Linked DNA regions of Macaca fascicularis. The main gene of each other region encodes a partner of the protein of the gene in region 3 in a complex. Links are inferred from orthologs where the notes say so. Each region holds a gene or a part of one and is shown on either strand. Other genes may lie near its edges. The genes, in order: SF3B4, SF3A2 and DDX46.

The links.
Region 1: DDX46 (region 3) and SF3B4 share a complex: the UniProt entries of both Homo sapiens proteins name them as parts of the 17S U2 SnRNP complex. The link is inferred for Macaca fascicularis from reciprocal best matches to the Homo sapiens genes DDX46 and SF3B4.
Region 2: DDX46 (region 3) and SF3A2 share a complex: the UniProt entries of both Homo sapiens proteins name them as parts of the 17S U2 SnRNP complex. The link is inferred for Macaca fascicularis from reciprocal best matches to the Homo sapiens genes DDX46 and SF3A2.

What each region holds. Positions count from the first base shown.
Region 1 is NC_088375.1:111,352,010-111,355,763, reverse strand, and holds the start of SF3B4 (splicing factor 3B subunit 4), read right to left. Parts: upstream 2,346-3,754; 5' UTR 2,302-2,345; coding exon 2,268-2,301; intron 1,836-2,267; coding exon 1,707-1,835; intron 1,469-1,706; coding exon 926-1,468; intron 597-925; coding exon 390-596; intron 1-389. Other genes in the region: MTMR11 (myotubularin-related protein 11), read right to left, coding at 3,654-3,754. UniProt on the Homo sapiens protein: Component of the 17S U2 SnRNP complex of the spliceosome, a large ribonucleoprotein complex that removes introns from transcribed pre-mRNAs.
Region 2 is NC_088393.1:2,904,285-2,906,619, reverse strand, and holds part of SF3A2 (splicing factor 3A subunit 2), read right to left. Parts: intron 1,975-2,335; coding exon 1,865-1,974; intron 356-1,864; coding exon 306-355; intron 227-305; coding exon 86-226; intron 1-85. UniProt on the Homo sapiens protein: Component of the 17S U2 SnRNP complex of the spliceosome, a large ribonucleoprotein complex that removes introns from transcribed pre-mRNAs.
Region 3 is NC_088380.1:141,369,679-141,373,332, reverse strand, and holds part of DDX46 (probable ATP-dependent RNA helicase DDX46), read right to left. Parts: intron 2,012-3,654; coding exon 1,938-2,011; intron 349-1,937; coding exon 301-348; 3' UTR 1-300. UniProt on the Homo sapiens protein: Component of the 17S U2 SnRNP complex of the spliceosome, a large ribonucleoprotein complex that removes introns from transcribed pre-mRNAs.

The DNA.
Region 1 (3,754 bases), on a different chromosome or scaffold from region 3:
GGATCTAGAAAAGCAAAAGCAAAAAGAGACGAGAATTTCAAACAGGAGGACACGACTAGTTTCAAGTACATCAGAGGTCAAACTAGATAAGGAGCAGACGTGTCCCTGAGATTTGGCAATTAGGTCACCACTTTGAGCTGGAGTCAGAGAAGAGAATGGAACTAAAGGTTAAAGAAATAAAAACCAGCAAGTATAGTCTTCTTGTCAGAAAAACTTAAGAAATGGATACAGGGAGGTGGATGTTAGAGAGTATTTTGTATGTTTTTATAATAGAATGTCTGAAGGAAAGGAAACTCTGAAACTGTTACTGTTGAGGAACAAAGGGCAGCAGGGTGAGAGGTAACAGAGATGCTCTACCAAGCTCTTCCCTCCCAACAAAGCACACCTACCTGGATGGGGCATCCCACCTGGTGGGAATGGGTGAGGATGTGAGTGTCCATGACCAGGATGTCCTGCCCCTGGGGTTCCTGCCGATGGGGGGCCATGTCCTGCAGCTCCAGGAGGCATAGGTGGTGGGGGCATGGCTGGGGGTATCCCAGGTGGGAGGGCTCCAGGAGGTGGCACTGGGGGTGGGAAGGAGCCAGGAGGAGGCATGCCTATAGAGGAAATGGAAAAAGGAAAAGTTAATGGTAGTGAGGAGAAAATGTCTTTAAAGAGCCTGTCCTGATCTGGCCTCTCTGGGCAGGGTGAGCTCTTTCCCCCTCCTCCCAGTGCTCTAAAATCAAAAGCAATGTTAGAAAAGTCAACCAACTTCACCCTCCTAAAGAAACCCAACAACTTTCTTCTCCACCACTACCATCACCCCTCAGTCCTCTTCCCATCACTCACTGACTCCATGTCCCATCCCCCTTTCAGGCTCTTTTTTTCTTCCTCCTGACTCTCTCCCCCAACCTTAAGACAAACAAATTTTAACCAAAAGCTTTACCTGGTGGAGGAAGCCCAGACCCCAATGATGATACCACAGGATTGGGGGCAGAGGGTGGAGGAGGTGCATCTGCAAACAGCTGATGAGGGCGGTCAGCCTGGGAGAGCGGGTTCTGAGCTGCCAGAAGTCGTTCGGCTGCTGAGCCATGGCGCTCACCCTTGGAGTCCTTCTTGAAGGCATAAGATACGGTGATAGGGCGGTTACAGAGGTACTGCCCATTCATGGCTTCAATTGCTGCATCCGAAGCATCAAATGAAGCAAAATTAATAAAGGCATAACCTTTGGAGTTGCCTGTGTCAGGGTCCCGCATAATCTTGGGGGTTTGTAAGATGACCCCAAAAGCGCTGAAAGTATCATAAAGCAACTTCTCATCAATCTCAGGGTCCAGGTTCCCAATGAAAATGTTGGCCCCTACATCCAGGTTTTTGTTGTGGGCTGATGCCTTGTTCACCCGTATTGGCTTCCCATAGAGTTTGATCATGTTCATGATCTTAATGGCATAGTCAGCATCTTCCTCACTCAAGAATTCCACAAAGCCATAGCCTGGAGAAGTGGAGAAGAGGAGGTTAACAACATAAGAGATTGAAAATGGGGTAAAACTCATCTACCCTCTAATCACAAAGAACAAGAAAGAAACAATCTCACTTAAGAATGGTTCCAGAAATAAACTGAACAGAGGCTTAAAAGAAAGAAATACTTTAGGTTGCTCATGTTATTCCAAAACAGTTGTGAATACTGCCGGGACCCTCCGGAAGCAAACTGCCCCTTGTCATGTACTCACCTTGGTGCTGGCCAGTGACTCTATCCTTTGGCATGTGGGTGTTGACTACTGGTCCAGCCTGGAGAAACAGTTCCCACAGCAGTGGTTCACTAACCTTCTCATCCAGGCCCCCCACGTACACAGTGGCATCTGAAGGGAGGGAGCAGAAAGTTAGAGCAAGGGTGAGAGTATAACATGAAAGAAGGAGGTGATGGAAACATGAAGATGGAACCCAACCGGGGGAACTGGGGACGCGGGTAGGGGACAGGAGCAAAAAAAAAAAGTTAAACCCTTAAACTTCTCTCTCCAGGACTTCAGGAATCCTCTGAAGTCTAATTTAGTATTCTGAGTGGATTTTTTTGTTTTTTTGAGTGAGAACTCAGCAGGGGATTGGACGTAAGTATCACACACACAGGCCTCAGCCAGCACCTGGCCACCCCGCCCCCAGGAGGCACGGGGCCGGTCTCGCGCCCTCTGGGGAATGGATGAGTCCAGTCTCCCACCCCTGCAGAGGCACTTCTGGCTGTAGTAGGGGCCTCCTAGCCACGCTGAGCCCATTCCAGACTTTCCCCCTCCAGTTACCCTGGTTCCGCTCGGAGATCGGCCCGGCAGCCATGGCGAAAGAGCTCCCGCCGTCTCCCAGCAGCGGTTCCGCCTTCTGACCTCAGCACGACTTCCACTTCCGGGGCGAAGGAGGACGTAGCGGTGGGCGGAGCCGCGGAAGAGGAGGGGCCTGGAAGCGGCTGCAGCCATTTTAGGATCCTCCAAGACTTAACTCGGGTTGAGCGGTGGAGTCCTCGGCACTCGCGCAGAGGTGCCGCTGCTAGTGGCTCAGACCGTCTTAATGCACTGCTAGACTTGAAAGAATCACACTGCTCCCAAAAATGTAAATTCGAAAGCTAAAAGAACAAAAACTTCAGTTTTCATGTATTTTGTAGCCAGTGATGATGTTTTGTTGTCCAGAGAAGGATGTGCTGAAGAGTCCCCCCAACCCGAGGACTTGGCTGCTTTCAGGCGCAGAGGGAACCCTCCATCTCGCCTGCAACCTTCTTGCAGATTTGGCCTCAACAGCCCTGATTTGGGCTGGAGGTATTTGGTTTTCCCTCAGGGGAGGAGACTGCGAAATGTCTGAGCTGGAGTGACGTCTGCGCTCATCTCGTCGTAATTGCATGGGGAGGGTGAGGGCAGCTCCAAGGTGGTGTGTGACCACAGGTGAGGGGTGGATAGGATCGGAGCTCAGAGACTTCAGTCTGGATCTCTAGAACAATCTGGCCCCATCTGCCTCTAAATGGGAGACACACACAGAATCCTTTCCCCAAACTGCACTTGAATTCTGCAGAGTCTCACCAAATCCAGTTCCCCTATTTCCTTAGCAATAATACAGTAGATGCTTTCCTCTCTTGGATCATACCCACCTTTTACCCACCACTTTCCTACCTAGGAGAATCCTTTATTCAAACACAAGAAACAATGCCAGTAATGTGTATAAATACTATGCTTTAATGAGCCCCTTAAATAGAAAATTCCGCTACAAAAATACACAGGAGACAGGGTGTTTCCTGTATCCGCCTCATTCCCATAGAAAACTATAAGGGAAGAAATAGAAGTTGGAATTAAAGCAGCAGCAAGGCGAGGTGAGAATGCGATCTCTAGGCCATCTTGTTGGGACTGATGAACAGCATCTCTGATCTCACGATTTAACATCTGGTTATCCAGAAGGGATGGAATTGGTCTAAAAAAACCGATCAATTTCTGGATTGTTTTTGTTTCTTAATCTTTCAAATGACAAGAAACAAAAATATCCGTAGGAACTAAGCAAGACAGGACAAGAGTTGCAGCAGTTAACACCACCATCTGCAGCAGAAACTCAGACCTTCTTAGTGAACTTAAGGGCTGGAGTGTGAAAGCTGAGGCTGCAAGTCCAGAAACAAAAAAAAAAAAAAAAAAAGGATTAGACAGAACCGTCCTCTACCCCAGATCCCCCTCTGCCCTGCCTTTGAGAATGCCCACAATTTCAGTGGGATTGAGAATGGTATGTGGATCTCTTTTCTTGGAGTGAACTTCAGGAG
Region 2 (2,335 bases), on a different chromosome or scaffold from region 3:
GGCGCCCTGCCCAGCCTGTGCAGATCCTTCTGGCTCGCACATCTCAGGGGGCCCTGGGGCCCAGGGGACCCCGCAGCCATGCTACCTTGAAGGCGATGGTCTCATAGGGCTCAGCAGCCATGAGCAGGTACTGCCAGCGCCGGTCCGGAGGCTCAATCCTCTGCTCGTACGCAGACATGAAGCGGTGGCGTGGCATGATGCCCTCGGCGATCTCAGGGTAGTCGATCTGTGGGGACACAGCCGGGTGGCAGCGCCACCTTTCAGGTGCCTTCGGCCGCCCCCCACACCCAAGCCCCTGATCTCACCTGGAAGAGGAGGCTCTGCTGGCCCATCTCCGAGTCCCTCTGCTTGGTCACTGCAACACAGAAAGCTCTCAGGTCCCGGCTGCTTGTCCTCCCCAAAGCTGAGGGACCTGGGGCAGGCTAATGCCACCCACTGAATGAGGGCGAGACCCCAGGGGAGGCCCTGTGGCTCCAGGCAACCGCCAATCCGCCCAGGCTCTGGGACTCCGGTATAGGTGAAGGCACAGGTGCGCCAGGGCTGAGCTACCTGCGGAGTCACTCGGGCAGGGACCGAGGGTGGTACTCCTTTGTCCTAATCCCCAGAGCCCTTCACCCAGGGTGCTGGGACACTATCCAGCAGGAGTCGGGGCCACTGGGTAGGGAGCGGCCCATGGCACCCTGGCTCTGGGATTAGAGTGGGGCCGCCTGAACAGGGCCAACACCATCTATAGGGTGAGCGGGAGAGGATGCCTTTCCCACCAGAGCTCAGCAGCCTGGACCCCGAGAATGGCTGCTGGGCCGCCTACGGCCTGGCCACTCTCCAAGCAGCCTCAGGCACGCACACTCACAAGCCCTCCACCTCCTCACTGCCCTGAGCCCAAGCTCAGGACCTGTCAGGGCCTCCCCACCAGGAGTCTGCCGCTCTAGCCACCCTCGTCCACCCAGCGCACCTGCCCCGGGGCCTGTGCCCTGCAGGCTCCTGTCTGGAGGCCAGGCACACAGGCTGTCCCCATCTTCCGTAAAGAACATTTGCTGGGGCCAGGCGCGGTGGCTCATGCCTGTAATCCCAACACTGTGGGAGGCCGAGACGGGTGGAACACGAGGTCAGGAGATCGAGACCATCCTGACTAACATGGTGAAACTCCGTCTCTACTAAAAATACAAAAATTAACCGGGCGAGGTGGCAGGCGCCTGTAGTCCCAGCTACTCGGGAGGCTGAGGCAGGAGAATGGTGTGAACCCGGGAGGTGGAGCTTGCAGTGAGTGGAGATCACGCCACTGCACTCCAGCCTGGGCAACAGAGCGAGACTCTGTCTCAAAAAAAAAAAAAAAAAAAAAAAAAAAGAACACTTGCTGGGTAGCGTGCCCGCCTTCCTGACCCTACAGACACAAGGTCTGTCTCTTCCACCCTGGCCACTTCCCTGGCTTTCTGAACCAGGTCACCTCCTGCCATTCCCACTGCTGAGGGTCCCGGAGGAGCCGCCTCTAACAGCCGCTTCTTCCTGTCCTCCTTCAGAGGCTTCAAGGTTAACCGGAGGAGTGTGCCAGGGCTCACCACACCTCCACTTCCACTCTTTGGCTTGGCAAGACTCCCCAGAAGCTTCCACAACACTCGGACAGGAGGGCACAGACTGTGGCTCAGCTGGGAAAGGGGCCGCTGGGTGAGACGGGTGCTTATCGGGCTCAGCCTGACAGCTCCCAGACACAACGCCAGAGGCTGCAGGTGGGTGAGGGATGGCCACCAAGGCCAGAAAACAGCGGCTCAGGAATGAGGGTCTCAGGGCTGCGCCTCCTGCACTGGAGCCCAAAGAACCTATTCATGCAGCAGCAGCGGCTGTGGCCAGCGCCGCTCCGGGCACTCACCTTTGTAGCCTGGGCGGCCGATCTTCACAAACTTCTTCACCTCCACCTTGACCTTCTCAGGTGCGGGCTGGGCAGGGGCCTCCTTGGCCTCCTTGGCGGCTCGCCGGGCCCTGCAGGCAGGATGGACGTGGTGCTGGGGCCCCTCCACACACAGGCACCAAGGCCACGGGCCCCCTGACCTTGGAGCTCACTACAAACTGAGGGATGAGGAGGGCCAGGGGCCTGGGAGGGGCCCTGGGGTTTGGCTGAGAACAGGGATAGGACAGGCACGTTCTCTTCCTGTCATGCTCCTCACTGTCCCTGGCTGGGGTCCTACCAACAACTCCATGCCTCTGCTTTTTTCTTTTTTTTGAGACCGAGTTTTGCTCTTGTGGCCCAGGCTGGAGTGCAGTGGCGCGATCTTGGCTCACCGCAACCTCCACCTCCCAGGTTCAAGCGATTCTCCTGCCTCAGCCTCCCCAGTAGCTGAGA
Region 3 (3,654 bases):
GTTCAAATATTTCCATTTTTTAAACCTCTAGAATATTATCCGGACATTTAAAATATTGATATTTAAGTTTACATTAAAGGACATCACACTCTGAAAACAGGCCGGCTTTAAATATAGTTTGATTGATTGTGGGGGTACTTACGGACAGATTTCTTTACCAAATACTAGTTTCTTGTATTTAAAAAAAATCAGCAAGACAGAATTTTTAAAAATCTTAATTTACAATACATTGTAAACTGCAGACTGCAACTGCCACATCTATCATAGACCAGCAGAGGTAAAAATCTTTTTTCCGGATGTCTATAAGACTTTGTATCTTCCTTTATTTGTTGGTTGGTATGAATTTTGCTGTAATAGGAAATAAAAGATATGTCATCAGAGAAAGCAAAACAAACAACAACAACAAAAAACCAACCAACCAACCAAACAAACCCAAAAGGGAAATATTTAAGATCATTTCTTTTGCTAACTTGTAAAACTATTGGTTATTTAAAATTTTAAATGTTAATATTACTGCACTGAGAAAGGAAAAACTATTCAATAACTAATGATTTCTCTGTTCACTTAACTATTCCTTAACAACTATGTTTTGAAATCAACTTAATGGTGGTAGCATCTATGGGCACAAGATTCTTTTCTATCACTCCTTGTTGAAATAGTCTTAAGCACGTGATTGAACAGCTGTTTTACTTTTTCCCTCTTGTTTTCTGAACCCTCTTTTCATTAAACTTCTAACCCCCCCGCCAAAAAAAGGAATGCTCTCTGAGGGGAGTTTTAGAAAAGCTCTCAGAAGTACACTTAGAGAAAAGACGTTTCCTTTCAAAGGAAATGTACACACTGTAGGGAGTGTTCATAAGCTGCAACCGGCACTAAAGACACAAGGACATATCTACCTCCACTGCAAAGGCAGTCTGTAAAGGGCTTTTTCCAAAATCAAATTAAGTCATTGTTTAAGTTTAAAGACACTGACAACACCATGTGTTGGCAAAGATGTAGAACAACTGTAATTTTCATACACTGCTTGATTAAGTGTGAATTGATGTAACCTCTTTGGAAAACTATCTGGCAATACCTAGCCTATAATTAACAATTCTACTCCAAGGTATATACCCAAGAAAAAATCATGCTAATATATTCCAAATGCACATGGAATAATGTTCACAGAAGTGTTATTCATAAAAACAAAAAAGGAATAGCCCTCAAATCCAATATATAAATATAAATCAACTGTTATACATTCATATAAATATTATATGGCCATGAAAATGAGTGAATTATTGCTACATGCAATAACACGGACCGATCTCCTCAAAATGTTGATTGAAGGAAACTAGATGCAAAAGGTGCAAACACGTGATTCCACTTATGTGGAGTTCAAAAATAAGGAAAACTAATCTATGATTTTAAAATTCACAATATGGGGCTGGGCACGGTGGCTCACGCCTGTAATCCCAGCACTCTGGGAGGCCGAGGCAGGTGAATCATGAGGTCAGGAGTTCGAGACCAGCCTTGCCAACATAGTGAAACCCCGTCTCTACTAAAAATACAAAATATTAGCCAGGTGTGGTGGCAGGCACCTGTAATCCCAGCTACTTAGGAGGGTGAGGCGGAGGTTGCAGTGAGCCGAGATCGCGCCATTGCACTTCAGCTCAGATGACAGGGCAAGACTCCGTCTCAAAAAAAAAAAAAAAAAAAAATTCAAGGTACAGTTTTGTTGCGGGGAGATGAATAGTGATAAGAATGGACACGGAGAAGACTTCTGGGATATTAGTAATGTTTTTTATTTCTTGATCTGGGTAGTGATTACACTGGTATGCTTATTACTTTGTGAAAATTCATCAAACTATATGTTTATGATTTGCGTACTTGTCTGTATTTATATTTCAATAAAACACTTATTAAAACAAAACAAATGAAACTTTAAGGTTTTCACTCACCAGCCGGATCAGCTCTTCTTTTATGAGCCTGGTGATTTCTGCCTTTGCTTTCTGCACAGCCAGTTCATTGGCACCTGGTGATTGAGTGGAAAGCATCTTATTCACATTACTAAAATTACACTGTGTTTACCCATATCATGGAGGTCCAGGAAGAAACACTGTAGGTGACTTTTAGAAACATTGTACTGCCTGCCAAGATGGCCATTTAATGCCTGGTGGAACATTACCCACATTATATAATGGCTGCTTATGATTTTGATTACTTTCAGAGTTTCAAATGTAACCACTGAGGTCATATTATGTGTTAAGAGTTCCTAGTATGGTAACTAAAAAGAGTGGAATAAAAAGACTATTAGCGATTTGTCCAGAAGATAGTAAGAGAAGGCTACAGGGAAATATAACTTCCTTGGTTTATTCATTTAGCAAGTATTTATTAGACATTTATTATTTACACTGAAGTCTGCAAATGTTTCAGAAGGGTGACGTACGAACAAAATCTTTAAAATGAAAGGAGGACTAGCCACTTGGAGGGAGGAAAGATACCAGGAAGAGTATTTTGCAAGGAGAATTACATATGTAGTGGTACAGAGTTAAGACAAGCATGCTTAATTGCTGAAGAGTAAGAGAAGTGTAGCCTGGTTGGAAAAATGTGTGAAAGAACACGGCAAAATAGCTGACTAGATGAGGCAGGCTGCAGACATTCATTCACAGTTATTAATTTCACAAAAATTAAGCACTTGCCTCTCACATACTGTGAGAGATTTAATATATAAAGAACAAATTCATGCTCTTTAAAAGCATACAGATTAGCAAAACAAACTTGTAAAGACATTACAACAGGATGAATAGGAAGTAGTTTACTAAATTCACTTTTAAATACCATTTTTAGGAAGCTTTTCCTGACTCTTCGAGGCAGTTAAGTGTTTTCTTCTTTAGTGTTCTCACAATATTGTATTTATACCATCACAAGAGCACATTTTTGAGGTAGAATGGACAAGATATTTTTTCTGATGGGATGTGAACAGTGGAAAAGAGAAACAAGATATTAAGAGCTGGCTGGCAAGTGAAAAAAGGTAGAAGTAATAAAAGAATATATTGATTCCAGGAGGAAAAACAAGTGTTTTTTGGATAGTGATACTGGGTGAAATTTAATTCTAAAATTGCTGTAGTTGAGGTGCTCATTGGACATCCAGTTGAAAATATAAATGAGGTCAATGGAAATATGGACTAGAAGTTTAGAAGTGGCAGAGATCAGAGAGCCATCAAGGGTAGGCTGGGTAGAATCTGGAGCCAATAGACAATGCCAGTGAGTAGGAAAGTACAGATAGGCACCACATTGCACGCTGAGAAGAGAAAAAGAGCTTAATCAAAGAAAACTAAAGACTGAAATGTCTAAGAACAAAAGGAGCACTGGGTCTGCAATGTAGAGAGCTATATTTTTATCATTTTGTATATTAAAAAACACAAATGAGGGAAAGATTTATAATAAATTAGAAAATTTCCCCCCGTATTAGAAATAAGTAACTTTTCTGTCCCGAGAGAGAGACAGAGACAGAGACAGAAAGAGAGGCAGAAACAGTTTCACGACAGGAAGGAAAGAATCAAGGCTATGGCTATGAAGTCATAGCAACATATCTAATTTAAATCCTCTACCTCCACTAGCCACGAACCACAACATTATAAAACTATGTGGGGAAGGTGAGTGCCAGAAGGGAAA